Alligator mississippiensis: one gene and its partners. Each later gene encodes a partner of the first gene's protein in a complex. Links are inferred from orthologs where the notes say so. Each region holds a gene or a part of one and is shown on either strand. Other genes may lie near its edges. The genes, in order: MCM2, GINS2, DONSON and GINS3.

Region 1 (7,279 bases):
CCACCTAATTGCCATCTTGAGATTGGAAGCCCCACTCCTAACCCCTGACTTTTGCCACTGGAAGTCCCACTCCTTGCCCCCAGAAGTACTCCTTTTGGGAGGTGGGGGATACCATATTAGAACCAGAAAAAAAATCATATAGTAAAAATCAAACATCTACTATAACAGGGTTACCATACATTTGGGTTTTCTGGACATGTCCTCCTTTTGGATTCTCCCATCTCTGTCTCAATGTTTTTTTAAAATACCAAAAAATGCCCGGGATTTTACTCTGCTCAGGATCAATGTTTTTCCTGGCACTTCCCATCTTGCCCTAGCAAAGAGCTACTTGGGGCTGGAAGGAGCAGGGGAAGGGAGATTGGAGGCAGAGGCATCAAGTGATAGTAGGACCAGCCCTGGCAGCTGCATGCAGGTAAGTCTGTGGGGGCAGGGGTTGGAGGGCCAGGGCTTGGGGACTGTCTGGGGGGTTCTGTGTGTGTGTGTGCACACACGTGTGGCAGAGGTTTGTGGAGGGGATGGGTGTGAGTGGGGTGCCTGCTGGCACCGGGGGAAGCACAGTGTCTGGGCAATGGGGCTGTGGCAGGACAGGGAGAGCAACTGCCCCTCCAGCAGGGGAAGGGGGTCCTCTGGGGACAGCAGGGAGCTGTATGGCCAGGCTGGCGGCACTGGGACTGGTGCCTGTGCTTGCAGGGGTGGGACAGCTGGGAGATGCTGCAGAGCTGGGGGGCCATAGGGCTGCAGATCAAGAGTGAGACACACTGGCAGGGCTGGGGGGCTGTGGCTTGGGAGTGAGGGGAAAGGGCAGGGCACCGGCATATCACTGCCTGCCCTGAACAATCATATTACCTGCCCCCGCTCCCCAACAGGTGTCCTCTTTTTTGAAACTGGAAACATGGAAACCCTAAATATAACATATTTTAATTTTATTACAAAAAATATTTTTCTCCTCATGAATGGGTGTTTGCATAGTGTATATAGAGGTGACTGCATAATAGCTCCAAATAAAGTCTTACTCTTGTATAATCTGTGTGGGAGGGATGTGGTTGGGGGAGTGGGTATTGGGGGTGGGATTTAGAGGGGTGATCTGGAAGCTTCCTATCTTCAGGACAAGGCAACCGAACTTCATCTTCAGCCTCCTCTACAGCTCCTTCAGTCCTTGCCCTCTGCTGGGACTGACTACCAGTTCCTGAAGTCATGGTGGGATTTTTCCAGAGATGCTCACTAGTCTGCTAGGTGTTGAACTGAGCTCACCAAACCCAGCTCACACCAGCCACCAGATAACTCCTAGCTGGTGACAGCGGATCTCAGCTGGATTCTGGCCAGTTGCCCAGGATGACAGGAGACACCCAATTCCTAGTCTCACTTAGGGCAACCAAACACTCCAGCCACGTCAAAACTGACTGCCCAAACCGAGCCACTTAAAGGCCTGTGTGTGTGTGTGTGTGTGTGAATGAGGGGTTTGTGAAAAGGTGTGGATGTGTGTATGGGTGGGTGTGGGGTTTGTGGGGGGCGGCTGTGAAGGTTGTGAGTGTGTTTGTAGGAGGGTCTGTGGGGGGGGTGTGGGGTTTGTGGGGAGATGGGAGGTGTCAGGTTTGTGGGAGGGTGTAGGTCCTCCCCCCGCACTCCTCCCCCCCAGCATACAGCTCCTCCAGGCAGCAGCAACAGCAGCAGGCTCTCAGGGCACTCATGGCCCATGGCAAGCAGAGCCCCCTGGCAGCACGTGGCTCTGGCTGAGTCCCGAGAGCTGCAGGTGGCAGCACAGAACCTGCCTGGCTCGGACCAATGGCACATGCCTTTGTGCCAAAGCAGGCTGGCTCCATGCCAGTACATGGGGCTTCTGGCACTGCAGGCAGGAGCTGCATTATCAGCCTGGACCAGGCCAGCTCTGTGCCTCCATGTGGGGCTTCCAGCACTCCAGTGGGGAGCCACACGTGAAGGCATGGAGCCAGCCTGGCCCAGCTGTGCGTGCTCCCAGCTTCAGTGCCAGGACCCATAGGTGCTGGCACAGAGCCAGCCGGCTGGCCCAATGGCACACTGCTCCTGGGAGGAGAGCTGGGAGCCACATGTGGAAGCACAGAGCCTACCCAGCCCTATGGTGCGAGGACTAAGAGCTGTGGGGAGTTTGTGGGGGAGTCCCATGCCATTGGGCTGGCCAGGCTCTGTGCTTCCACGTGCGGCTCCCTACTGGAGTCCTGGAAGCCCCACGTGGAGGCATGAAACTGGCCAAGATCATCTGATGGCGCATAGCTCCCACCTGCAGTGCTGGAAGCCCCATGTGCTGGCACAGAGCCAGCCTGGTCTGGCTTGAAGGCCCCTACCAGTGGACCGGCTCAGTGCCAGGGGCTCAGAGCACCTGCCATGGGCCATGAGTGCTCCGAGGGCCTGCTGCCCACTGCTATCAAAATTGGTGGGAGCTGTGCACCATGATGGGGAAGGGGGAAGGCATGTGAGGGAGACCCATGCCTCCCCCGCTCCCCTTCCTACTCAAGAGCTGCCCAGTCACACACCATCATGTTCAGTGCCTCCACATGGGGCTCCCAGCTGGAGTGCTGGGAGCCCCACGGAGGTGGAGGCACAGAACCCACTTCTGAAAGCTCGCATCTCCCTCTGGCTTTCAGAGGGGCAGCTGCGGGCTGGTAATAATTGTTTTTTGGAGGGGTCCCGCAAGCCAGATAGAATGGCCTGTTGGGCTGGAGCCAGCCCGCAGGCAAAATACAGCCTACTAAACGGTCAACTTCCACAGCATCTGGTGGCAATGAGGTCCAAACTTAAATTACATGCGGGGTGAAAAACAACTTCCTTGTGTTAGTATTAAATTTACTACCAATTAGTTTTTATATTATAACCCTAGTTCTTATTTTAAGAGAGAGAGTAAACAATACATCCTGTTCACTTTCTCTTCACCATTCAGCATTTTGTAAACCCATCTCATGTCTCCCCTGGCAGCGTGGAGGAACCACAGGGCAACCCAGGCGCAAGAAGGGTCCAGCAACAGCGAAGGGGAGGTAGCCACTTTTCCCCTGCACCAAGCGGCAGCTTCTGTCCAGCTGCCACCGCTACTGCTACTGCTACTGCCGCTGCACAGTGTGGGCAGGCGAGTCCAGAGCAGGCGCAAGGTGGGCCAGGGTCGGGGCTGCGCACGCGGGTCCCCACTGGTACCATGGGGCTGGGGCCAGCGGTGGCAGCAGCCAGAAGGAGCCACTGCTGCATGGGCTGCCTAGGAAGGCTGGAGCCACCCCAGTCCTACTGCATGCCCAAAGGACGCCACAGGCCGGATGGCACCTGGGCCAGGCAGGACTGAGGGACTCACCATGCTCTGGACAAAGTCCCTCCGCGGGCCAAATCTGGCCCATGCGGTGTATTTTGCCCATCCCTGGCCTAGCCTCTCTAATCAATGCAGGGATAAGTGATGTCCTGTCTCCCTAAACACCTTCTGCAAATTTTTACTGGATAAAGGACTCTACTTCCTGCCCTAAACTACATTCCCGTGCTGAACGGCTATGGAGGCTCCCGTCTCCTGACAGACATGGCCGAAGGGCAGGGCTGCCCCAGAGAGCCGTGAATGGGAACTCCCCGCTACACGCAGACTCGTACCCACCCATCCAGGGTTTGTTCTGCTGTGCGGCTCCAGTCCGTGAACTAAACCCAATGGAGGGAAGCCGAACCAATTTGATCCAGGGAAAGACTGTCTTCACGCAGACCCGCACCAGGATCTCCACGTCACAGAGGTTCGACGGTCTGGGATGTATCAGCTCCAAGGATGAGAAGGCCCTTGGCAGGGTCGGACAGGGGGTGCACAGGGCGCGGGGCTGAGCCCTGCTGCATGTGGGCGGAGAGAAAAGCAATCCCAGGAGATCTGTCAGCTGGTGGCTGCAATGCCCGAGCAAAAGGTGTCCCGGGCAGCCAGGCCACGTAGGATGCGAAGCCCTGAGGGAAGAGGGTGGGCGGCAGGATGGAGAAACAGGGCATGAGCAATAAGGTGCAATCAGATCCGGAGCGGGTGCATTGGTGCAGCTGCACCTCCCCCCATTTCGGACTGTTTGCAACCCAGGGGCTTCTGGGGACTTTTTTATCATTCCCCAAAACACAAAAGAAACCTAGTAGCACGAGCTCTTCCCCTGCTGCTGCTGCTGTCCCCGGGGCAAGAGAGGCGCTCCAAAGCCGTGGACAGGAACAGTCCTATCCCGGGATAAGGGCGGGGCAGCGCTCAGCGGAGCTCGCCGCGCAGGCGCGACAGGGGGCGGCGCTCATGCATATGCATCGGGGTCGTTAATTATGCATGAGGTTTCGCGCGCTTTTGCTGCCCACGTGGTGCTCGTTTCCCGCGGAATCCGGCAGGGCAAGGAGGCTCCGGGCAGCGGCGGGGATGGCGGTGAGCAGCGGCCGGAGCCTGCCCTGCCCTGGGGTTGGGGTTGGGGGTTGAAAGCGGGGCTGGCACTGGGAGTGGATTGGGGCTCGGGCTCCTGTGCTCTGGTCCTTGCGGTGGGATCCGGATCGGGGGCCGGGGTCCCGGTGCCCAGAAGGCAGCGCTGGGGAGTGGAGCCCCTGCCCGCCCGCCCCGCACCCGCCCGGGCCCTGCGTGGGGCAGAGACGGCCTATAAGGGGCTTTGGAGTCTGCCTCTCTGGGGCTTTGCATGGGGGGGTCTCCATGGGGAAATAGGGATGTCCCCCCCCCCAACTGGGTCCCCTGGCTCTGTGGGGTGGGTGACACGTGAGCACACGCATGTGCACACCCACACGCTGGTCTGCCCGTAGGGGTGAGTGCGCTGGTGCCCCCTCCCTGCTCGGGGAGCTCTCCCGTCCCCTGTGGGGGTGCTGATCCAGGTGACACTGCCTCCCCGAGCAGCCCTGGCCCCTTCCTCCACTGGCCTCTGACCCGACTCTCTGTCCCCTGCAGGATTCGTCCGAGTCGCAGAACGTGGCCACCAGTCCGGCCCGCAGCTCGCGCCGTGGAGATGCCTTCACGTCCAGCCCCGGCCGGGACCTGCCGCCCTTTGAGGATGAGTCTGAAGGGCTCTTGGGGACCGAGGGGGGCCCTGAAGAGGAGGACGAAGGGGAAGAGCTCATTGGGGACGGGATGGAAAGGTAGGGGAAGCCCAGGGGCAGCCCTCGGTCGTTGATGGCTGCTGTGTGTGAGCAGGGCCTTGGCAGGGCAGGTTATTGCTTATCTCTAAGGCATTGAGTCGGCTCCTGCCATGGGCCACTGCACGGGTAGTGCCTCTTTGTCCTCTGCCTGGTCCTGCTCTAAGCATCCTTCAGTACCCCCAGCTGTGTTTCTAAAGCACCTGTCATGGGGCATCGGAAATGTGGACTTTGTCTGCTGCACCGGTGCCTAGAGTGGGCATAGCAGAGGGGCCACAAGACAGTGGTGATGGATATAAGTCTTGTGCCATTGTCTGGGATACCGGGGGGGCTGCCTGTGAAGTCGGTGGGTGAAGTTGTGTGGATAAACCTGCAGGTCACTTCCTAGGACTGAGTGTGGTTCAGCTCAGGGTTATTTACTTGCTTGTGTGAGCATAAAGTTCAGATTTTGTTCTGCAAAAACAATCCTTTGGCTACTAGGTTAGAAAAACAAGTACAACCAACTACAGGTCCAGCAGCCAACAGCTGCATACGCTATTCATTCAAGCTTTGTGTGTCGGCTTTAGTGATCGTAGCATCCAGCCTTTGCTTTTATTAACACGGAGCATCTTTTTGTGTAGAATGAGGTTCTGTTCACCAAGAGTTTTTCTGTCTGGACTGAAGTCTCCCTGACACCACCTCTGTTTCCCATAATGTGATAGGGGAAACTCTTCCATGTGGCTAAGTGCATCACTGGTTAAATGAGATCTCTATGTGCCTAGGGACTACCGTGCCATTCCAGAGCTGGATGTCTATGAAGCTGAGGGCCTGGCTTTGGACGACGAGGATGTGGAGGAGCTGACAGCCAGCCAGCGGGAGGCAGCCGAGCGGGCAATGAGGCAGAGGGACCATGACCTGGATCGTGGCCTGGGCCGCATGAGGAGGGGACTGCTTTATGGTAACTCCCATATGTGCTTTTACATCACTGACTGCCTTAGCCTACCCCTCCAGAAGGATCTGGTCTTTTACCCAATGGCCTGGTTGCCATGATGGCCCTAGACCACCTATGGCTTGTAGAGTGTCTAGGTTTTAAGGGAGCAGTGGGCTTACCTGAGCTTCACTAAGTATTGTCTCTTTGCAGCTGGGTATGTTGGGTGCTCCCAGACTAACAGCGCTCTCCTGGCTCATGCAGGTCTGTGGTTGCAGCAGAGTTCAAATGCTGTGGCTTCCAGGCCATGTCAGGACAGGGGCTTGGACCCAGTAAGTGCCGGGCAGACTGCTGAGACTCAGTAGCATAATTATGGCGGGGTGAGCCTGGCATCTGCCAGAGACACCATAGTTTCATAGGTGGCAGGGTCAGAAGGGACCTAAGCAGATCAAGTCCAACCCCCTGCCTTGGGCAGGAAAGGATGCTGGGCTCAAATGACCCCAGCAAGGTGGCTGTCTAGCCTCCTTTTGAAGACCCCAGGGTAGGGGCGAACACCACTTCCCTTGGAAGTTGGTTCCAGCTCCTAGCCACCCTGACAGTGAAGTAGCGCCTCCTGATATCTAGCCTGAATTTGCTTTCAGTCAACTTATGGCCGTTGTTTTTTGTTAACCCCGGCAGTGCTCGGGGGAACAGGGACTCTCCCATTGCCTGCTGGTCTCCCTTGGCCAGTTTATAGACAACCATCAGATCCCCTCTCAGCCTTCTTTTGTAGAGTCTGAACATGTTCAGGTCCCATAGCCTTTCCTCATAGGGTCTGCCCTGCTGCCCCCTAATCATGCAAGTGGCCCTCCTCTGGACCCTCTTGATGCTGTTCATGTCCTTCTTGAAGTGCGGCGCCCAGAACTGGACGCGGTACTCCAATTGGGGCCTGACCAATGTCATATAGAAGGGGAGGATCACCTCCTTGGACCTGCTTGTGTTGCATCTATGCATGCGTGACAAGGTATGGTTAGCCTTCCTGACTGCATCCCCACATTGGCAGCCCATGTTCATCTTGAAATCAATAGTGACACCAAGATCCTTTTCTGCCTCTTCACTGACAAGAAGGGAGTTCCCCAGCCTGTAGGTATGCTGCTGGTTCATCTTCCCCAGGTGCAACACCTTGCACTTGTCCGTATTGAAACCCATCCTGTTCTCATCTGCCCACCTCTGTAACCTGTCCAGATCCAATTACAGCCTGTCCCTCCCTTCTAGCATGTCCACTTCTCCCCACATCTTAGTGTCATCTGC
Region 2 (7,340 bases), on another chromosome or scaffold:
GGAGATGTCCCGGGGCAGGCTGCTCCAGTGCTTAACAACCCTCTACATTAGAAAGCCCTTCCCAATATCTAACCTAAATCTTCCTCGGTGTAGTTTTAGACAATTTCTTGTCCTAACCCCTGTGACAACCCCTAAAGGAGCCCTGGATAGATGGCAGCCCACTGCGTAACTCTTTGGAGCAAAAAGGCATCACGGGTACCCCAAGGCAGGGGATGTAGAACAGCAGCAGTGTGCCTTTGAGCTGGGGAAAGCCTGCAGGCTGAGGAAGCAGCATTATCAGCAGCCAAGCTGGCTCCTGAATTAAAGGTCAGGATGAATGTGTGACAGAAGGTGCTTATCAGGCACAGACATCTCCAGGCCTACCAGCCTTTGCAGGGCTGCCCCTGCCTACCACCAGTTAACCAGCAGGAACCAGGTTCAGGCTGCAATGGCAGGTTTAAACAGGTTCATGGAGACCCAGGTGGATATGAAGACCTGAACAGCCTCCCTTTCTCCCTTTACACACAGAAGGCTATTTGCACAGGAGGCATGTGAAAGCCGGCTTCAGGGGTGTGGAAGGGAAGTGCAAATCAAGCTGTTGTGGCATTTGAGGCTGGAAATGGACCCGAAACTGAACTTCACCAGTGAACGATGGAGCATTTCAAAGGTAGAGACAGGCTGCTTGCTCTTCCAGCTGTTTCAACCAGCCTGTCTGGCTTTTCTACGTGATGAAGCTGCTGGGCCTGAGAGAGGAGCCCTTCAGAGACTTGTCTGCATTAGGGGTTTTTGTGCTGTCTTTTTCTCTCCCTGCAGAGGGTCGGCCAGGATGCAATGGGTTTAAACTGTAGCAAAGCAGGTTGAGACGAAATTTCAGAGAAAAGTGTCATTACTGTCGGAACATCAGGACAGCGGTGCAAACTGCTGGGGGAGGCTGTAGCATCTCCATCCTTGGAAATTTTCAGGAAGGGGATGGATAAGCATTTAATACGGATGGTTTAGGAAGAGCGCATTGTGCCTCTGTGCTGGGGGCTGGACTGGATGACCCCGGAGGTCCTATTCAATTCGATCAGTCTATTATTTTCCCAGGAGCAGCCACTTTGATGAGCATTTCCAACTGCAGACATCTCTCTTGGTCTATTTCTGGAGGAGCAGAGCAGTTCAGTGCTTTCATTATGGGGTCTAATGAAGGGCAGGGGCTGCTATGAATTCCAATCTTGGTTGCTGCCGTGGAGCGAGCTCGACCTGCTGGCACAAATCTACTGCACTGGTATATAGCAAGGGAGCTGGGAATGCCTTAAGTCCCACTAAAACCTGGTTTTAATAGCCCTCTTCAGCAGAGTGTATTTAGAGCTAGCAGAACCCAGGGCAATGCTTACCCAGCAGATTTCTCGTGTCACGGAGATGACAAGATTTGCTCCTGTAAGACAGCTGTTGTTTTTTTTTTTAAGCTGTCAAGATCAGAGCTGCTCAAAACCTGCGGATCACAGACACTGATGGTTTGCCTGACGCGGCTGCTTTTTGCTTCCGGGGGAATTTGAAGCCCAAGATCTGGAATATAACAGGGGAATTTGCACCTCCCGAGTTATGTTCCAGATTTTGGGCTTCAGACTGAGAAATGTCAAAAACCCAGCTCAGGTGACATGAGGCAGTTCTGGCGCTGAAAGCAGGACTCTTGCACTAGAAATGGTGGCGAGGTGGTAGAAAAACAGCTAGCAAAGGTTTCCAAAACCACATTCATGTCCCGAATTTGTGCTGCCAGCTTCCCCAAATGTAAACACTCACAGTGGTCAGTGTCTCTCCTAAAACTGAGCTCCTGGAGTCATGAGACTGCTCAGTTTCCCTTTGAAACCCATGGGATGTTTTTAACCCTCCTAGTAGTGGATAAAATCTGGACAAATGTGAGGTCTGAAGTCTCAAAAGCTAGAGGGGGAATAACAAGGACTGCAATAAGATATTTGTGAAAAACCTTTTCATTTTCAATTGATGCTCAAGATTTAAAGGGGACCAGGTAAGGATGTTTTCCAAGTGGGTGATCCCACTGACTCCAAGCTAGGCAATAATTGGTGCCTTTGATGTTCACCAGGGATGCAAAGAGGTGAATAGGGGTGGAAATCTAAATTGCCTTCACCCCTCCAGAGGTAGCTACCAGCCCTTCTACTCCTCATGTTATTGCTGTTCTGCCAATATGCAGAGTTGCCCCCCAGAGTCACCCGTCTGGCACTTCTCACAAACACAAAACTCACTTAATTAAAAAAAGAAAGGGTGTGGGATAGGGAAGCCATTTGGGAGCCATAACAGATTAATCAATACAAATCAATCAATAGGAACTATTGGCAGCTGCCGCTGGGAAGACAGCACTTAGATTTGAGGGTTGTTTTTTTTTTATGGACGGGTAAAGTGGAGAGAGAGGAAATCAGATCCAGACATAACAAGGCCTTTGAATGACAGCCGGAAAATAGGATTATTATCATCACCGCAACTTGGGTACTATCATTTTCCTTTTTTATTCATGCAATGCAGAGTGGTTTGAGTCTCAATTCTAGAGGCCCCGATCTGAGCAAGAGAGTGGTTTGGGGCAGGGATGAGATGGCAAGAGGAAAGAAAAGGGCTCCCTGGGAAAGACTTTTTTGGGGGGTGGAGGGGTGACGGGGACTATACGCCGCATTCGGAGCCTTTTTATTTATCCTGTTGCATCGGGGTTGCTGCCCGTGCTGGGACAAGCTGGAGGCAAGGCAAAGAAATAGATGGTGTTTTGAACAGGATCACAAAAACACACCATTAAATAGACCTGTCACTGCTAATATTGTTTGAAGGCTTTCTGTTTCCATGACGACCTGACATCCTAACAGCCTGGCTGACGGCACTCTAAATCACTCCTGGATAAAAGCTTTTATTTTATTCCCCCCCCCCCCGTGCATAACTTTGGACATTAACATCTTCGATGTGTCTTGACGGGTTTTTGTTGCTGTTGTTATGCTTCATCTTAAATCCGTCCCGGTAGCTGAGTGTTTGGGGGTGGCTTGTCTTTTTAATTAACAAGCAACGTCTGGGTCAGAGGTAGAAAAATACCTCTTGCGAACACTTCTGGGCTGTAATGCCTGCACAATGCTCAACAGTGGTTCGGCAGATGGGTTGCTGTTTGTCAAGCTGATCCGTGTCAACGCCTTGTGTCCCCATTTACTCCACACACCTGGCTGTTGTGCCCACCTGTTGCCTATGGGCTTGCACTTGGATGATCAGCTTCGTGCCACGTATTTGGAAGAGGCACAGGCGGCAGGGCCTTGGCCTCTACCAGGGCCGCACACGGGCACGGGCGGACAGAAAGGGGGCCTGAAAACGGTCATTTTAATTATCGTTATTAGCGTTACCTCTGGCGAAGCGGGGTTTGATACTAAAAGTTCGCCCCAGGGCCGCCAGGAGTCTCGGTACGGTGCCTTGACCGCTCGTAATAAATACTACGAATACATTCATGAATTAAAGTCCACCCTCTCTGACCCTAGGCCAGGCCGCTGTGGGAAAAACCAGGGAACAACGTTGCAAAGCTGCGGTTAAACAAACACAAGGCGCGTCTACACGTTCACTAATGCGCAGTAGTTTAGTCCTCGCTTCATGGAGGACAGGCAACCCCCCCCCCCCCCCCCCTTGGTGCTCATCCGCTACAGCGCTCGTTTTAAACGGATACAATTAGCACTCGGCGAGTCTCGTTATAATGCTCAGGTCGTTAAAAACTCTCGCGGTCGCCGTGTCGGATGGTTAAAAAAAATTTGGAGAGTCCCCCCCCACAACCTCCCGCCAGCCGGGGGGGGGGGGGGGGGGGGGGCACCTTTTAGCCACATTTGGGGACACCCTCCAGACAGGATTGGTGTGATATGGCCGTGAGGGCGGAGGCGTGACAGACCCCCCCCCCATAATGAATTGGGCTAACCTAATTAATTGGGTTAATTGCTGGCATGGAGGGGGACTCAAGCCCCCCACCACTCCTCAGGCTGAGGAGATGTGGGGGTGCTTCCCCCCCCGGAGGACTCTCCCCTGAAGTACAAGGTCTATGACACATGGCGGGTGGAGAGGAGGGAAGCACCATGGCAACTCCCGCGCCTTCTCCACACTTCGCCCCGCCCGCGCGCCCAGGGAGAGCGCTGATTGGTCGATGCCTCCTCAGGGAGAGCCGCGATTAGCTGGAAGGCTCCCCGGCCCCGCCCTCAGAAGCCGCGCCTCAGCCAATCCTCGAGCGCAGGAGGGAGCCAACCCGCGGGCACCGCGCGAGACAAGCAGCCAATCGGGGGCGCTTTGGGGTTGGAGTCCAAGGGAGGGGGCGGGGCTTCCCGCGCGGCCAGCCAATAGGAGGGGCTCCCCGGGCGGTTCCGGTTCCGGTACCGGTTCCGCCCGCCCGGCGCCGGGAATGGACCCGGCCGAGGCCGAGTTCCTGGCCGAGAAGGAGCTGGTCACCGTCGTGCCCAACTTCAGCCTGGACCGCATCTACCTCATCGGGGTGCGCCGGGCCCGGGCTTGTGGGAGGGGCCAGACGGGGCGCCAGAAGAGAGGGGGCGGGGAAGTGTGGGCGGGGCCAGGGGAGGGACAGGGCAGATTATGGGGGCGGGGCCAAACTCGCGGGAGGGACCAGAAGAGAGGGGGCGGGGCCAGTCTTGGGGGAGGAAAAGGGGCGGAGTCAGAGGGCGGGGTGGATTAGGGGCGGGGCCAGAGGGAGGCATTTTGGGGGCGGGCCTTGTGAGAGGGGCCAGAGGGGAGGGGTTGAGACAATGAGGGACAGAGGAGGTGGGAGAGGTCAGCTGGGAGGGCGTGGCCAGAGGGGTGGGCGTGGCCAGCAGGGATATTGAGGGGTCCCCCCCCTCCCAGGGGTGCCCTAGCAGGGCCTGGCCCCAAGCAGCCCCTGACCCTGTGGCTCTTGCAGGGAGATCTGGGTCCCTTTAACCCAGGGCTGCCCGTGGAGGTGCCGCTCTGGCTGGCCATTAACCTGAAGCAGAGGCAGAAGTGTCGCCTGATCCCTCCCGCATGGATGGACGTGGGTAAGGAGACCGCCCGCTCCGAGCTGGGAGCTGGTCCGTGGGGACGTCCTGCAACGCTCCTTCCCCTCCTTTAATGGGGAAATCCCTGGAGCGAGTGAAGGGGGCGCAGGGCCAGCCCCATCCTCGCTCCCTGTGCCTTGCTTTGGGAAGATGGGGATGCCACCTGCTTTCCTGAGCACCATCGCTGGCGTGTCGCGGGCTCGGGCGTTAATTGCTCCGTCACCTCCCTGTAGCACCTTCCCCGCGGGCTGCGTCCCGAGGGAAGGGTGCCTGTGGAGCGCGGAGGCGCTCTCATTTACTCGGGATCGTGCGATCCCGCGGGGCATCGGGAATAGAAGCAGCCCTGACACCACGCAGCAATGTTGCTGGGTGGAATAAGGGCCTGAGCTCCCTCCGGTTCAGCCAGCGTGCGGCTGAGAGCAGGGACAGGGACGGTGCCTCGGTGCTGCTCCTCTCGCTGTCCGACCTCCCTCTGCGCTCCCGAGGGCACAGAATTGATGAGCCAAGATCAACTTGGCAGAAAGGTCCCCTTGAGGCCTTCTCCCAGCATGCGGAGCTGACTGCCAGTGCCTCTTGCCCTCGTTTTGGGTTGAAGGGAGTTACTTTCTGCCTGATGAGCTAGGGCTCCCATGGTAAAGCTGCCAAGGGTACCAGGACAGTCTCCCCTCTTGCAGGAGCCGTCTCCACCTGGTCCAAGGGGGCTGCTTCTGCTGGGAGGAGATAAATCCAGAGCTGTGGAGCATCTGGCAAAAGCCTGACTGTCCCCAAATGTGTTTCAGAAAAGCTGGAGGCCATCCGGGATCAGGAGCGCAAGGAGGACACCTTTACCCCGATGCCCAGTCCCTACTACATGGAGCTCACCAAGCTGCTCTTAAACCAGTAAGTCGCTTCCTTGTGGCCAGGTGGAAGTACTTTCTTCCCTGGGGAAATACCCAGGAATATGATGCTGAAAAACTAGTGAGGTTATAGGGGATGGAGTTGCAGACCCACAGGGAAGCGTCCTACGCAGAGCACGTCAGGGTTTTGCTAGAGCACTCGGTTTATCGCAGCCGTTGGATCTGTTCACCCGGTGTCACTGGTTACGAAGTCTGATCAGGGCTCCCGTGCTCTGTCGAGGGGCGGCTGAGTGTACTGACCTTGGGCGGAGAGGCCACACGCTCTGGCTTTGTGCAGACCCTCGATTGCTGCCGGAGGCCCAGCAGCCTAATCCTTCCCAGTCTGCTGCCTTCGTGCTGTCCTTTCCTAGCCCGGTACACGCAGGTCAGGGATATCCCATGCAGGACTCGCGTCCCCTGAAACATTTCCATTGCACACAGTCTGCTGGCCAGTAATTTACTGAGCACAGACTCTTCTCTCCTCAAGCCCCTGCTCACGGTCACTTGAAGCACTAATTGCTTCCTCCTGAGATCTCAGCAGATCCCATCATTGCATTACAATAACCTGTGGCTGTGTTCGTGTGAGCTGCTTGGATCTCTGGAGGTCTGTGGGGCTGTGCCAATGGGTCCAGCTCACTTGGTCCCAAAAGCTGTGGGGTCGGTAATGAGAGCACAGTGCCGACCTCTAGCTCTCATCACAGCCAAGCCATTTAAATTGGCTGTTTCTGTGTGGCTTTGGCCAGGTTATTGTACCTCCTTGGCCTCAGACCAGCTGGGCTCTCACAGAGCAGAAGGACTATGCTGCCAACCAGATGCTGCTGCAGAGTTCAGATTTCCTGGGTAAATAAACGATCCTGAAAAAGCCCCGGCAGCAGCAGCACCAGCTTGGCTTTTAGTGCTGAGTTCCTTTTTTTTTTCATAAAGCAAACTGCTCTGCTTATGCCTCCGAGGTTTGAGAAGCTGCCAACATGACTTATGCCAGTGACTTAATGTATTAGTCCCTTGCAGCCTGTTCTGATCCGCGCTCTCCTCCTCCTCCAGCGCCTCAGACAACATCCCAAGAGCAGATGAAATCCGAACGCTGGTGAAGGATACCTGGGACACGCGCATCGCAAAGCTGCGGCTGTCTGCGGACAGCTTCGTCAGGCAGCAGGAAGCCCATGCCAAGGTACGGGGTGGACCGATAGGCTTGCTAGTCCCTTCCACGGGTGGCCAAGGTGCACTGTGATTGTGCAGGTCTTTGGCCGATCAGAGCCACAGACAGACGTGCCAGGAGTGGCTCTTTCTCCCGCTGCAATAGGAGCATCTGTCAGTCAAGAACTAAAGCCATATGCTTAAGCTTCCGTTTACGGCCAGGCTGCAGCTCCGTTTGCATGATGACAGCGGCACCGTTGTCACGTTCCTCTCTGCTGGGCCTGCCCCTTGGGATGCAGCCAGAGGGCATATGCACCTCTTCATTGTT
Region 3 (7,443 bases), on another chromosome or scaffold:
AACAGTTGCAGGAAACATGTATTCAATAAGCTACAGGTGGAATACCCCTAACCTAACCATCTCTTGGTTTCTTTTTCAGCTGAATTAGTTAAGAAATTAATCTAATTTATTTTATCTGTTGAGTTTTATAAACTCCTGTTTACATTTTTAAATTAGTCTGAAGTTGTTAGTATGGTCTTAAGTAGGATGTTTTTCATGAAAGTTTAGGCATACCTAATTTACTGCTAGGGTATTTATACACATGCTCCAGGAGTGGGGTGGGAGGTGCTTTAATTAAAGCAATCTTACTGACATAAAAGTCTCAAAACAGGGTGAGGAATCCAAGCAGGATCCTTCAACTTTCTATACAGGCAGATATTCCCTGAAGGCAAGATTAGAAATCAAGGTGGCAAAGCCCTTTGGAAGTAAAGGGACTAATTTAAGATCCCTTTTTTTTTTTTTTTTTTTTAATCTTGGCATAAAGCCACACTGAAGATAAGGTAGAGTTGCAGCTTAAGGGTGCGTATGCATGAGCAAGAGTCTCAGTAATAAGTGGCAGGCTCTAAAGTGCCTGGAACATCTCATGCATCAGCGTCTCTGTTCAATGAGCTTTAGATAAAATACCTCTGCCACCATTTGGAAATGTGGGGACACACATGAGACGCAGGATGCTGCTGGAGCACAGTAATTGCCACGCTCCAATGCACTAGACTTACAGCCTGTCAGAGCAGCCTCCCTGCCAGTGTATAGGCACCATTAAGGTGCAACTCTTAAAGTGCTTTACCACCTTGGTGTCTAATCTTGCCTTCAGGGAGTATCTGCCTCTAGAGGAAGTTGAAGGGTCCTGCTTGGATTCCTCAGCCTATTCTGAGCTTCTTATGTCAGTAACATTGCCAGGTATGAACTCAAAACCCATTGCAAGAGGCCTTGATTAGGCCTCCAAACATTTATTTCCTGAGGAGACTGTTTTGATTGCTTTCTGCTCTCAGACTGTTAGCAAGGTCTTATAGCTATTCTTGCATATCCCTCTAGTAACTTTAGATAGGAAATCCATATGCTTGGCCTCGTGGAATTATCCAGAGAGACATAAAAATAATTTGAGCTGTCTCATGGTTAATGACTACTTCTTGTCAATACAACACTTCTGCCATTCCTACTAGAGTGGAGTAGCTGCTTGTCCTAGAGTAATTAAGAGAAATGTAATATTGTAAAAAAAGACTTGGGTGTGAAAGGGCACTTCTCTGTCTTCTTCACATGAAACTTCTGCTCCCTTTAGCATGTGCCACTTTAATAAATCTGGAAGGCTAATGTATAAATAGATTATAATTAATGACTTTGATAACTCTTCAAATAATTGTTTTCTCTACTACTCATACCCATTTTTTTCTCAGCCATGAGTGAGCTGTCAATTGGAAACATTCCCTTGTATGTAGTCAAAGGTAGAGGGAAAACCTCACGTACCAAAAAAATTATGTAGGATATTAAAATTAGAGGGTATGAACTTTGTCTTCTTACATACATGAACATATAGATACTAGTATATTCTAGATCAGTGTTTCTTAACCTGTGGGTCATGAGAACATATAAAAGGGTCGTGAACAAACTTTAAAAATAGAGAAAATGTGGGAAACTCTGGCTTTTCCCTTGCGGGCTGTCAGAGTTCCAACTTGCAAGGGGCTGCTTGGGGACCCCCATGACTCCCATACCTTCCCCCTGCCTCACACTGTGGGGCTGGGGCCAGGGGATCAGGAGTGAGGGTCACTGGGTCAGCACTGGCCTTTAATGTTTGCAGATGGGTCCTGGCATAAAAAACGTTGAGAACCACTGATCTAGATATTAGCTGAGTGGAGCGTTATTTACTTCTCAGATTGTTTTGCATTTAATGATACCCATAGGAACAGCCTTAGTGGTCCTTCTCACCTTTGTGAGCTATTTTTGGCAACTGCTACTTTCCTGCTGTTCTGTCTGGCTGGAATTTTCCTTCTGAAGACCTTCATTGTGCCCTCTAGTCTTTTTTTTTCCCATCCTGTTTTGAGCATTTCTTAGACTCTCTCGAATGAGTTTGTAAAAAAATGACATGTTTGACATTACTTACAAAAGTTGCCTGTGCTGTTCTGAAGAAGAGGATTCCATGGCGCACACTTAGGGACCTTTTTCTCCCAGGGTCTGAACACCGGTCCTAGAGCACTCCCTTCTGGTAGAAAAGTATCACTGTACATAGAAATTATTGCTAGTTTAAAATTCCAGATTATAAAGGGAAATACTTTTCAAGAAAAATAATTTGAAATGACCCCCTTTGCTGATTAGTTTTTAGAGGAAAACTAATGAGTAAAGGAGGTGCAAATCTGGCTGTGCTATATGCTGAGTGGCTCAGGTATAAACGTGGGGGAAGTATGAGGTGCATCTCTGGGTGTATGTACCAGGGGGCAGGCATAGCTAAAATCCCCCAAGATCCCAGCTTGCGTGGCAGAATCCAGGTTTGCAGCTCTTTTTGGGTGGAATAGAGGAGGCAAGGATTTCTTAGGGTGAGATCTTTTATTGGACCAATGCTATAGCTGGGATAACAACTGGACAAGCTTTTGAATGCCAGGCATTCTTCCTCAGGTCTCAATGGAAAGCTTGTACTTGGGAGAATATTAGACAAGCTTCCCAATGAGACATGAGGAAAAGTGCTTTGCATTCAAAAACATGCCTGTTATCCCAGGTACAGAGTTGGTCCACTAAAGGATCTCACCCTAAGACATACTTGTCTCTGGCACAGTTGTGGCTGTACCATCACTTTTCAAGCTCAGGCTGTTCACTGGCTTTTATGGTATAAAGAAGTTTCTTGCTTAAGACCATAAGAGTTGCCATTTACTGGATGGTAGGAACAGGGTTTTTTTCCCCATGGTTCCTCTCACTTGCAGCCTCTAGCATTTAAGGTCTAGAAGCTCTGATTCAGAGGCTGAACCCCTCACTCCCATGCTCAGTAGCAGCCCATGCCCCTTTCCTTCAGCCATTGGTCCAAGCCCTGTTTGAATCTGGCTAAACTGCAGGCTTCCAGCACAGCTGGTGGCACAGAGCTCCACACTTGAATGATATACTCTGTGGGGGGAAAAAAAACTTCTTTCTGTTAAGTTTTAAACTGACTGCCTACTGGTTTCATGTTGGGACTCCTAGTTGTTGTCTGGGGGGAAAGAGCGGATCATAAATCCCCGTGTACTCTCTTCCCCCATTAGTATTTTGTTAACTGTTCTCATGTCCCACCTTCAAGTGTCTTTCTAAACTAACTGGTTCAGTTTCAGCTCATGTGGGAGCCCCTCTGTCCCACTGCACATCCTGGTTGCCCTTCTCTAGTGCACATGTGCCCCGGAGGGTTGCCAACCCTGTTTGACTCTATTCTGGGATGTTTCATCACATGATATAATGACATTACAGTGCAGACTTTAGGTCAGGAAGGCAAACGCACATTACTATTACATTTTAAAAACTCATTGGGCTCCTGTATAAATTGGATTCAACACTGAGTATTTAACGACTATTGTCTATCTGTGGGGTGACTCTCAGCAGTCTCTTGGAGATTTATCTCTAATTCCTGGGGACTCTAGGGCAATCCTGGAGTCAGTAACCCTGGTGATCCAGCCTTTCAGGCTGAAACCTTAGACTGGGAGACCTCCAGCCCTCACAGAGGGCCCAGCCGTTGCCCTGCATGAAGTGCCTGGGCATTAGTGCATACACACAAACTGACTTTCTGACAGCAAAGCGACTTTTTAAAGTTGACTTAACTGTCAGAGCGTACACACCTATGTGCAGCAGAGTTGACTTAAATGTGGCACCAGATAATATATCTCCAAAGGGGGTGTGTGTCCATGTGTGCCCCTACAGCATTCACTGTTACTTGCTGTATTAGGTAAGCGACTTAGCTCACAGTATGGCTGCCACAACCTCAGGGAGCTGTACGTGTGCGCGTTGCAGCCTGACTTAAGTGAATTTCATACATCTCATAGACATTAGGGGCTGAAAAGGACCTCCCGAAATCATGGGGGCCAGGCCTTTTGAAGTCTGCTGGGGTCAAACGATCCCAGCAGGATAAACAGCCAGCCGCCTTTTGAATGAGGCCGGAGACAGCGCTTGCCCCACCTCTGGGGGGAGTCTGTCCCTGGACACGGGCTGTGAAGCAGGTTCTCCTGATGCCCGGTCTAAATCCGCCTTCCAGAGGTGTGTAGACCTAGTGCTCCGTAGTTAAGCTCCCGGGTTTTTGGTGAAGTCGCCATTTTAAGTCGACTGAGGAGATGTGTGGGCACGGGACGAGCGGGGTGGGGGTCGCAGGAGTTGAGGCCGGTGGGGCCCGACGCGCAAGCCAGTGTCCCGGCTGCTGTGCCGGGTGCGGAGGCACAGGCCGCCCGCCTCCGCTGTGCGCGCAGCCCCGGCAGGCGGGAGGGCTGGGCGGGGCCGGCCGGTTTGCGCGCCAGATCTGCAGGGCGCTGCCCACAGGCGGTCCCGGCTCGCGCTGCAATGTGTGCCGCGGTGCCCGGCTACTCGCCCGGCTTCAAAAAGCCGCCGGAGATGCTGCGGCTGAAGCGGAAGAGGCTGCGGAGGAGCGAGGTCGCCGCGCCTGGGGCTGCCGCCGCCCGCAGCCCCGCCAGGGAGCCCGGCCCGCGCCCCTTCCCCGGCCGGCGCAACCCCTTCTCCAGCCTGGACAACGCGCCCCGCCCGGCCCCGGCCCCGCGGCGGCCGCCCCCCGGCGCCAGCACCCCGCACCCGCTGTGGCAGGTACCGGCGGTGTCGGTCTGCGTGCGGGTGCGAGACCTGGGGTGTAAGTTGTAGCCGTGTTGGTCTAAGGACGTAGGCAGACAAGGTTCCTTGCGTGAATTTGATATCTTTTATTAGACCAACCAGGTGTGAGTCCAGCACACGCAGGCACTGGGCCCCTCTGCTCTGCTGCCTCAGTCTGCCCGGCTCTCCCCGGGGCTCCAAGCCTCTGCCCACCCCGTGTGCGTGTTGGGGGCGGCATGCCTCCAGGCTGCCTCTCCTTTGTAAGCCTCGTGCTCAGGAGTCAGCACTCGTGGTGGAGGTGATCATCTTGTACTGGGCCAGCTACATTTTTTGCAAAAAGGAAAACAAATTGTTAATTGCAAGCTTTTGGGCACACGAGCCCTTCTTCTGGCATCGGGAAAAAAAAATGGAAGTTCTCCCAGGTAGATATAGGCGAGTTTCTTTGAGTAGATGTGATATCTTTTATTAGACCAACTGAATAGGTTGAAGAAAGAGGCTTTCGGAGTTCAAATTTTCCACTTTTCTGGCAAATGCTGAAAAAGCCTCTAAACTTCAGTGCATGGGTATGTAGAAAATGTCTTGTTAATGCTACCAGAGGGTGAAATGTTCTAGGGTGCGCTGCTGATGGTAGGTAGCTCTAAACATTTTTCTTGAAGTTTCACTTAAAAGTCAGCCTTGAAATGAAACTCAGTTCAGTTCAGTCCTTTTTTAAAAGTAACAGGTTTTTTTTCTTCTATTTTAGCTCTTGGATCCTCTTCAAGAAACTAAATCCACCTTGGAAGAAGAGTATTCTGAAGTAGATTTTCCCACATTAACAAAAGTATGAATCCTTAATTATTGCCTTTGGGTGTGTTTAATATTCCATCGTGCTCATAAGAACTTCATTTTTAATGTTTTTGGCTTTGGTTTCAATGTTGGGTCGATTTTATTAGAGCATAAACATTCTCAGAATTGATCTTAAACTGCCTTTGAAGCTCAGGGTCAGGTTGTCATCCACTAAAAACAGGCTTGCTGTTGTATTGGAACAGAAGAGGTTCTTTATAGTTTACCCACCTTGTGGCTCTTATGCTGTTCTGTATTGTTGGTTTCATTCTCTACTAACTAATCACTCACTCCCCCTGTTGTTATTTGTCTTTCATGCAGCAGAGAAGAAAAAAACACACACACAACCTTTACCAACTCTAACTAGGGTTAAGACAGGTGTGACTGACTTTTTGAGGCTGATTAGATTTTAGGCTAATAGAGCTGCTGCTTGAGAAAATGTAAGTTTAAGCCAACTCCTATTAAGGGATCAGGAAGAACCTTTCTCCAGGACAGCAGGCTATCGCATAGCTGCCTGCAAAATATTTCTTGCATTGGGTAATATTCAGTTGCTAGCAGTGATGACCAAATGAGATGGTGCTGGTCTGATTTGATATGGGAATTCCTACTTGCCTATTACCTTCTTGATAAGCTGGCTGAGGGCAACATCCTGAGGGACAACCAGCATGGGTTTGTCGCAGGTAGGTCTTGCCTGACCAATCTCATCTCCTATGACCAGGTGACCATATATCACCTGGACAAGGGAAAAGAGATTGACATCATATATCTGGGCTTTAAAAAAGCCTTTGATCTGGTGTCACATGATCTCCCCATGGAAAAATTGGCCAACTGCGGCCTTGGCTACATCACAGTCCGATGGCTGGGGAATTGGCTCCCAGGTTGGACCCAGAGAGTAGTGGTCGATGGTAGTGAATTATGGTGCTCCATGACCAGTGGTGTCCCCCAAGGCTCTGTCCTTGGACTGGTTTTCTTTAACATCTTTATCAACAATGTTGACAATGGTGTCAGAAGTGCTCTGGCCAAGTTTGCCAGTGACACTAAACTTCGGTGCATAGCATCCGTACTTGAGGACAGCTGGTGATCCAGGCCGACTTGGAAAAGCTTAGTAAGTGAGGAGATACAAACCTGATGACATTCAATACCGATAAATGCAAGGTACTCCACCAGGGAGTGGGGGGGAATGCAGCATGCTTATAGGCTTGGCAGTGCTATGCTCACTAGCACTACAGCTGAAAGACTTGGGGGTCGTGATTGACCACAAGATGAACATGAGCCACCAATGCGATGTCGCAGCTGGTAAAGCAAACAAAACTCTAGCTTGCATCTATAGCTGCTTCTCAAGTAAATCTCAGGATGTCATCCTCCCGCTGTACTCAGCCTTGGTGGGGCTGCACCTGGAGTACTGCATCCAATTCTGGGCTCAACAATTCAAGAAGGATGTTGAGAAGCTTGAGAGAGTCCAGAGGAGAGCCATACACATAATCAGAGGGCAAGAGATTAGGCCTTATGAAGAGAAGCTAAGGCTCTGTTCACCAGAGCGCCCCAAAGGACAGCAAGGACTAACGGTCATAAACTCCTCCAAGACCATTTTAGGCTGGACATAAGGAAACATTTCTTTACTGTCTGATCCCCCAAGGCCTGGAATAGACTCCCTCCAGAAGTGGTGCAGGCACCTACTTTGGACTCATTCAAGAAACGCTTGGATGCTTATCTTGCTGGGATCCTTTGACCCCAGCTGACTTCCTGCCCCTGGGGCAGGGGCTGGACTTGATGATCTTCAAGGTCCCTTCCAGCCCTAACGTCTATAAAATCTATGAAACGTTAATGTACACTTTAAAAAATAGTGAATAGGCATACTTCCAAAAGTCTCTTAACGTGTCAGTGAAA
Region 4 (7,236 bases), on another chromosome or scaffold:
GGTCTTGATTGCATATTTATTAAACAATGTGGTTTGGAAGGCAAGGGTGATTGATTGTATATGCTTTTAAGTCCTGGAATTCATGGTCACGACTCACTCATAGCAGTTCAGAGCAAGTCCCAGTACAATACCTCACCCATCTTGGGAGGGAAAACTGCATGAAAGGAGACCTCTGTTTTAGCATCTGATTTCCTTACAATGATCACAAAAGCACACCTTTCAGAGCAATCCCACAATTAGTGCAAGGAGGTTCTCTGGGGTAATATGATTCCTTTATCTTTGTATTTGCCCTGTATCTGTTTCTCTGGGTCATCTTGTCTCACTTCTGTATCACTCACATCAGGCTGAGGCATGTCAGGATTGATCAAAATATTAATTTTCTTTTTTCTCTTTACAGCCATTTTGTATTTGCACCCTATAAAAGAGATTATTTCATTTGTACACACAGCTCCTTTTACAAGCTCTACAAACTTGCATTTTCAGCTCAGAGACTTTGCTCTTAACATTTGATTCAACAAAATTATCTTTATTATTCCTGTCTTATAAATTGCAGTCGTCATCCAAAACTGCCCTTAAAAAGGTCTCTTGAAAATTGTTATTCTTTTGCAAAATAGAAACGGATGGAGATACCTTTTTTCCCAGAAAAATCTCTCTCCCTTATCCAAAACAAACAAAAAAGACCCAAAATGATGTTTAAGATTTCTAACTGAGAAGGTCAATAACATAACATGAGAAGGTCAATTTCTGTCTTTCTTCTGAGCAAGAATTTAAGGTTTTATCCATTGTACAGGAATATTGATTCCTGTACAATGGATAAAACCTTAAATTCTTGCTCAGAAGAAAGACAGAAATTGACCTTCTCATGTTATGTGAATTTTTTTTCAGATTCATGTTTCCGTCCTTCAGTTGCACACTGCACTGTTGGAAAGATTTAATGTACCTGATTAATGGGAAAAAGGGACTTTCTAAAAACAGCAGTGTGGGTGTTATATTTGCATATACATATATTTCTCCTCCTTGGTCTCTGTCCTTTCTTACTCAGCTACCTAACAAATCAAGTTAATCTGGATTCTTATCTTTTTAGCATGCTGAAGTTCATAAAATGTGTTATTCTTTCACCTAGGTATGAGTTTTATACAGTGACTATCACAGTGGTATCTAAGTAATGACTATATAAACCAAATATATATTCTTATACCACACCTTAATCCCACGTTATGTACTTAAAAGAAAAATGTTTAATGAGATATTATTTGCATAAAATAAATAGTTCAAGATTTAACAAACTGTTCCAAATGTGGTTGTGTTTATAAACAGCTGATTTAAAAAAAATACTAGAACTCCATTGTGGGAATAACACAGAAAAAACAAAATCAGAGCAAACTGAAAACACCTTGAGCAGAAGGCAAGATGAGGAATGTTGTGAACAGGGAACTAAAGAAATAACATTGCCTTGTGATTTAGTCATAAGCTGCAAAATGTCTGCCTTTACATTTTCTCCAGCTGAACAAAATGAATTTTTAAAAGGACTTTAGATTGGATAGCTGAGAAGGTTCAAGCATAGATTTTAAGTTGGTAAATGCAATTGCTGATTTCCCCCCTCATGCAATAATCACACATTCTTGATACAATTACAGAGTGCTGTACAGATTTCTGTTATTATGTTTCCATGTAAGACCAAGAGGTCTACAGAAGTTCAAACTTTTGCACAAAAAAGGGAGAAAATAATATGTTCAAACCTCTAACTACAATGTTCTCCATATTGTTTTTCTGCTTAAACTAGTTTCAGACTGTCTTGGGCTCTCACTCTTAGACTCTGGTGACTAAAGTAAAGGTCGGGTGGAATTTTCAAGAGTACTTACAGGTTTCCCTCACCAACCGCTGGGGTTAGGTTCCTGAAAGTTCCTGTGGTTTGCAAGTGTGGCTGGCAAGACAAAAGGCTTATGGGGAAAATGCCAGGTGGCAGGCTGATGTGCGGCCATGGAAAACCATGGTTACTCAAAACTGGCTACTATGGTAGCCAAAATAGTATATAGAATATTAAGCGTGGGTAGTCAAAACCATGGTTGGTAAAACCGTGGTTGGCAAGGGAAACCTGTATGTGAATTATGTCCCAAGTTGAAATGACAGCTGTTTATCGACACTTTTCAAAACTCAACCCCCTACCTGTGTAATCTTGAACCACCTGCCAGTATGTCTTTGACTGGAAGCAAAAGAAGCAAGTTTTCAGTCTTCTGGTTAAGATTATCCCTTTTTTTTTTTTAATCATAAAAAATAGTGGGAATGATCCAAGCACCATTTCTGTTGGGCTTTCCCAAAACCACCAGTTTCTTTCAGTCTTACTCAACACTTTTTATGACCAGAGATTGTAAAACATAGCTAAACCATGACACAAGGGAAATAAAACTTTACCAGAAGTTTTGAAAAGCTGTTGTTTTATAGGTTCTTGTGCTTAGAAACAGTGTGGGGTTTATTTTTATTTTCAGCATACACAGTTCGAGGGAGAGTGAACAGGATTTAATTAAATAAATAACAAATGAATTCCCAAACAGGGAAACAAAATTGAAAACATTTTAATATTTACGATCAAGCTACAAAAGGACACTAAATGTCAGTCTATTCCTGGTTACACAGGTAAAATTGCAAGTAATTTCACTATAAACCTTATCAGAAGGGGGGGAGGCAACATGCACCCTGGCAGAGCAGCCTCCCTGGATGTGTGCAAGTGCCCCATGTGCTGAAGGACACAGCAGTTTGGAGCCAGGCAGGCTGCCAGGAGAGAGCTCCACAGTCAGGGCTCTTCCCCTAAGCACCCCTTTCAACAAGAGCACACCCGCTGTCTTCAACAGGAGATGGCTGGGAGCCAGCAGGGAGCATAATGTGGAAGGGCCAAGCTCTTGTGCTAACCAGCTCCACCAGGCTCTGACTCAGGCTTCCATGTGGTCTGGCTCTGGGTGAATCTGGACGTGCTGAGGCAAGGCTTCCTCAGGCTGATCATTTGATGGGACCAACTAGTAACTGGGGTGCAGTCAGACAAGGGGCTCTTCCTGAGAGCACTAAGGGTGCATAAGCAAGGCTCTGCCCTTGTCCCAGCTGAGTGATCAGAATTTGTCTAAATCAGTGGTCACCAACCAGTGGATCTCGATCCACCAGTAGATCTCGGAGCCTCTTGGAGTGGATCTGAGGCTAGGGTGGGGGGGGCTAAGTGCCTGCATGCATGTATGTATCCCTGCCCAGCAGGTCAGTCCATGGGGGAGGGAAGAGGTAGGGGCTAGATTAAAGCCCCTGTGGTGAGGAACAGTGCTGCAGAGGCAGGAGTAGGGGTAAGTTGAATGAGTGCCCAGCTGGGTGGGACTTACTTGCTGGGGAGGCACATCCCCAAATAATTTTTTTCTCCCTCGCCTTGATCTGCCCCCCCATTTCCTCCCCACAGACTTACCTGCTGCGGGGAGCAGGAGGGGGTGGCAGCACATGGTAGATCTTGGATTGCTCTTAAATGCCAAAGGTGATCTATTTAAAAAGGTTGGAGACCACTGGTCTAGATCCTGTGAGCTATCCCCAACAGCCGGTGTCTTGGGGCAGACCCGGTAGGGGGTGCCCAGGCCTGGGGCTCAGGGCCTCTTCTTTTCCCACCCCAGGGGCCGCTCGGAGGTTAGGACTGTCTAGTAGGCTGCATGCAGGCATGGGACCAGCAGGGCTCTGGATGACCCTGCACGAGTATGCCTGCGTCATAGTTGTTGCCCGGTGATGTGTGGTCATGACATCACGGCTCCATCACCAGACCCGCTAAGGTCAGTCTGCAGATCGCGACATCAGGTCCCACTGTGCGAGGTCAGCACGGCATCCAGCCAATGACCGTGCAGAGGGAGGGCCGTGGGACGCCACACGCAGGTCCCGGCTCCCTCCGCCCCGCACTCACCGCGGGGGGCGCCGCCGCGCAGGCCCCGCTCCCGCCGCCAACGCCTGCGGGCAGTTACCGGCCGCCCACGCGCACCCCTCCCCCGCGTCTCGTGGTTTCTCTGCTGCCGCCAAGCCTACGTCACAGCGTGCGAGGCCGAGCGCGCCCCCTGGGGGCGGGGCGCGGCGCAGGCGTAGTAAGCGCGACGCTCGGCCGCCGCCGCGGGGCCTTCTCGCCTTCAGCACCAGCACTGCTGGACGGCGCCGCGGCCGGAGATCGAGCCTGTCCGCTCGGCCATCGATTGTTTCGGCCTGGCGACTGCCAGCCCACTAAAAGCGGGCGGCAGTTGCACATGCGCACTGGCGCGCTCGGGCCGCGGCTGCTGCTTGGCGGGCGCCGCGCGGAAGCCGGTGTGGGTTGGTGACTGGAGGGCCCACCATGTCGGAGGCGTATTTCCCGGTGGGGCCCGGATTGGGCCCCGAGGAGAACTTCTTGTCTCTGGACGACATCCTCATGTCCCAGGAGAAGCTGCCGAGCCGCGCCGAGGCCGCACTGCCCCGATTGGCCGCCGTGCTGGGCAAGGGCGCGGGCGCCGGCCAGGGCGACTGCCTCCCTGAGGTAACCCCACGGGACTACAGCTCCCGGCAGTCTCGGTGGCGCGAGGCATGCTGGGAGTGTGGGCCGATGCTCGGCGGGGCATGCCGGGAGCTGTACTCTCCTTTGGCGGGAGAACGGAGTGGTGCGCTGCCCCTCCCCCCCACGTAGTGTCACCCGGGGCCGGGGCCGGGGCCGGGGCCGGGGCGTTAGGGAGCGGGAGCCGCAGGCTGCGCGGCCTGAGCCCAGTGTGCGTTCGTCTACACATACATGCTGCTGTTTCCGTGACTCGGTTCTTTGGCTTTCCCCGACTTTTAAGCACCAGTGTTTGCAGCCCCCTTTTGTAGAATTCTTTACTTATGACTTTGTTTCGCTCACGCCACAGTGTGTTTTGTGCCACCTGATTTGATTCTTACTGTTATCAAAAAAAAAAAAAAATTGTGGTTAGAGCCCAAAATAAAAATCCTGATTCTACAGGCACCTGGTAGCTTGCCTGTGAAAGTCATTCATTGTGAACCTTCAGTAGGTGTCTGAGTCTTGTTTTTATTCATCATCCTGATCAGAATTGACTCCTGACTTTGTGGGGATGCCCTTTCTGTCCTGTGCATGCAGGGCTCCAAGCTGGAAATCCCCCTGTGGCTGGCGAAAGGGCTATATGACCACAAGCGGAGGATACTTTCTGTGGAGTTGCCAAAGACCTACAAGGAAGGCTGGAGGACAGTGTTCAGTGCAGATGCCAATGTGGTCGACCTGCATAAAATGGGGCCGTACTACTATGGATTTGGCTTCCAGCTCTTGAATTTTGACAATCCAGAGAATCCAGAGATAGCTCAGACCATACTGCAGGCAAGTATTTGAACCAAGTGAAATCAATCACTGAGATACTACCCTTTTCCTTGACATCTCTTCTATCCTTCCATCCACTTTGTCATAGTTGGGGATATATATATCCTTTTCTACTCAATTTGATGTGGGCTAGAAGGACTTCAAGACCTGGCCCTTTCATCTACAATGAGTATGTATCATTTTTTTGATTAAATGAATTGAAGCCTCATGTCTGCATTCACAGCTAAATTTGGTTAAATGAGTTTTGAGCAAGGAATGACCAGGTGCTTTGTTGCTTGTCTTTTAATAACAGAAAAAACAAAACATTTAACATTCTGTTCTACCGTTGTAAGGCCACAGCAATAGGAGAGCCTGTCTTGGATAGCCTGACACTAAGAAACTAATAGTCAAGAAAGTATAGTTAAAATGAGTGAATAAAAACATAAAGATCTTGTTGAGATTTTGACATTCTCTGTTTAGCATTTGTAAAGAACCAAAATACCAAAGTAAACCATGTAAAAAATAAGTGTACTAGTAATAATAAAACCTTGTCATATTTTTTTTAAAAGCTTTGTTTCCCCAATATCCTTAAGCACACTTTCCAAAGTTGTCAGGAACTTTAACTCTTCCCTTTTTGAATCTGGTTATATTTAGCTTTTATTTAAAAAAGGTTTTCCCCCTTGCTACAAAGGAATAAGTCCCTATTGCTTACCATTTTAAATTTGTTGTTATGTTCTCTGGGTGTTGTTTAGGTTTCCTAATTGTTTTATCGGTGCCCAAAGTGCTTTGAAGGCAGAGGGAGGTCAGCGTTTGAGAAATTCATTTAACTGTAGTGATGCTGCCTTTATAAAAGGGAGCTCATTTTTAGGGGGAAAAAAATCTAAATTGCTTTATGGTAGCATGATCTGTAACTAGCTACAGACTTATCTCACCTGCTCTAAAATCAATGGCTTCATACACAGGGACTGAAACAAAATTCATTGTATTGTGTTTTGTAGAAGGTCAGGACTAACCAGTAAAAGGCAATAGTGACACCTGACCAATTTAATTCCTTGAAAGTAGAGTGCAGTGGGCATACATATACAACACATGGTCTGGAAAGCATGTAACCTTTCCCCACCCCTATCTTAGGAAAATAAAGCTTATCTTTGAGTAGGAGGTTAATGGAAGCTGAGTACCAACAGTTAGATGCTAGTCCAGAACCAACTGTTGGCTGCTCAAATATAGACACCATAGGGTGCAAAACCCTGAACCTGTTAGCCCCAGAGCATAAGTCTAGCATTTGACCTCAAGGAGACTCTTCCCTGAGTCACTGACAATTCTTTATCTTCCTTAGACATTTATTAACCGTTTTCGCCGCATCATGGACTCCTCCCAAAATACCTACAACGAAGACACCTCTACATTAGTGGCACGGCTGGATGAGCTGGAACGAGCCTTATTTCAAGCTGGCCAGAAAGGGCTGAATGACTTCCAGTGCTGGGAGAAGGGGCAGGCTTCTCAGATCACAGCTTCCAGCCTCGTCCAGAATTATGGGAAGAGAAAATTCACTGACATGGATCACTGAAAGCATGAAGGACACAAAACCAACATAAGGGACACTGCAAGATTTATATTCTGTGTCACTGAAAAGAAAGACCAACTAACCTTGGAAAAGGGACACATTTTCCTTCTCTTTGGGTAACTGAACTTCTGAGCAGCTCTAATCTTCAGATTAAGCCAAAGCACATTGCAGAGGAAGAGGGAAGGTACAGTGACAACAGATTGCATTGCAGAATTGTTTAACAGCACACACACACTTCTCCCAATGATTTATGGTAATTACTTTGGGCTGCATGGCTCAGTGCAGGTGAGAGGCTCTTCTGAAAGAGGGTCGTTAATATTTGCTACTTTTTATCATGTAAATAGAATGTCATTCT

Evidence for each region.
Region 2: MCM2 (region 1) and GINS2 share a complex: the UniProt entries of both Homo sapiens proteins name them as parts of the CMG helicase complex. The link is inferred for Alligator mississippiensis from reciprocal best matches to the Homo sapiens genes MCM2 and GINS2.
Region 3: MCM2 (region 1) and DONSON share a complex: the UniProt entries of both Homo sapiens proteins name them as parts of the replisome complex. The link is inferred for Alligator mississippiensis from reciprocal best matches to the Homo sapiens genes MCM2 and DONSON.
Region 4: MCM2 (region 1) and GINS3 share a complex: the UniProt entries of both Homo sapiens proteins name them as parts of the CMG helicase complex. The link is inferred for Alligator mississippiensis from reciprocal best matches to the Homo sapiens genes MCM2 and GINS3.

Annotation. Positions count from the first base shown.
Region 1 is NC_081835.1:18,792,414-18,799,692, forward strand, and holds the start of MCM2 (DNA replication licensing factor MCM2), read left to right. Parts: upstream 1-4,274; 5' UTR 4,275-4,279; coding exon 4,280-4,372; intron 4,373-4,897; coding exon 4,898-5,085; intron 5,086-5,843; coding exon 5,844-6,019; intron 6,020-7,279. UniProt on the Homo sapiens protein: Acts as a component of the MCM2-7 complex (MCM complex) which is the replicative helicase essential for 'once per cell cycle' DNA replication initiation and elongation in eukaryotic cells.
Region 2 is NC_081833.1:73,711,709-73,719,048, forward strand, and holds the start of GINS2 (DNA replication complex GINS protein PSF2), read left to right. Parts: upstream 1-4,332; 5' UTR 4,333-4,378; coding exon 4,379-4,468; intron 4,469-4,888; coding exon 4,889-5,003; intron 5,004-5,782; coding exon 5,783-5,882; intron 5,883-6,919; coding exon 6,920-7,046; intron 7,047-7,340. UniProt on the Homo sapiens protein: Required for correct functioning of the GINS complex, a complex that plays an essential role in the initiation of DNA replication, and progression of DNA replication forks.
Region 3 is NC_081824.1:292,312,986-292,320,428, reverse strand, and holds the start of DONSON (protein downstream neighbor of Son), read left to right. Parts: upstream 1-4,427; 5' UTR 4,428-4,473; coding exon 4,474-4,731; intron 4,732-5,476; coding exon 5,477-5,554; intron 5,555-7,443. UniProt on the Homo sapiens protein: Replisome component that maintains genome stability by protecting stalled or damaged replication forks.
Region 4 is NC_081833.1:38,890,146-38,897,381, forward strand, and holds the start of GINS3 (DNA replication complex GINS protein PSF3), read left to right. Parts: upstream 1-4,224; 5' UTR 4,225-4,336; coding exon 4,337-4,516; intron 4,517-5,104; coding exon 5,105-5,338; intron 5,339-6,653; coding exon 6,654-6,884; 3' UTR 6,885-7,236. UniProt on the Homo sapiens protein: Required for correct functioning of the GINS complex, a complex that plays an essential role in the initiation of DNA replication, and progression of DNA replication forks.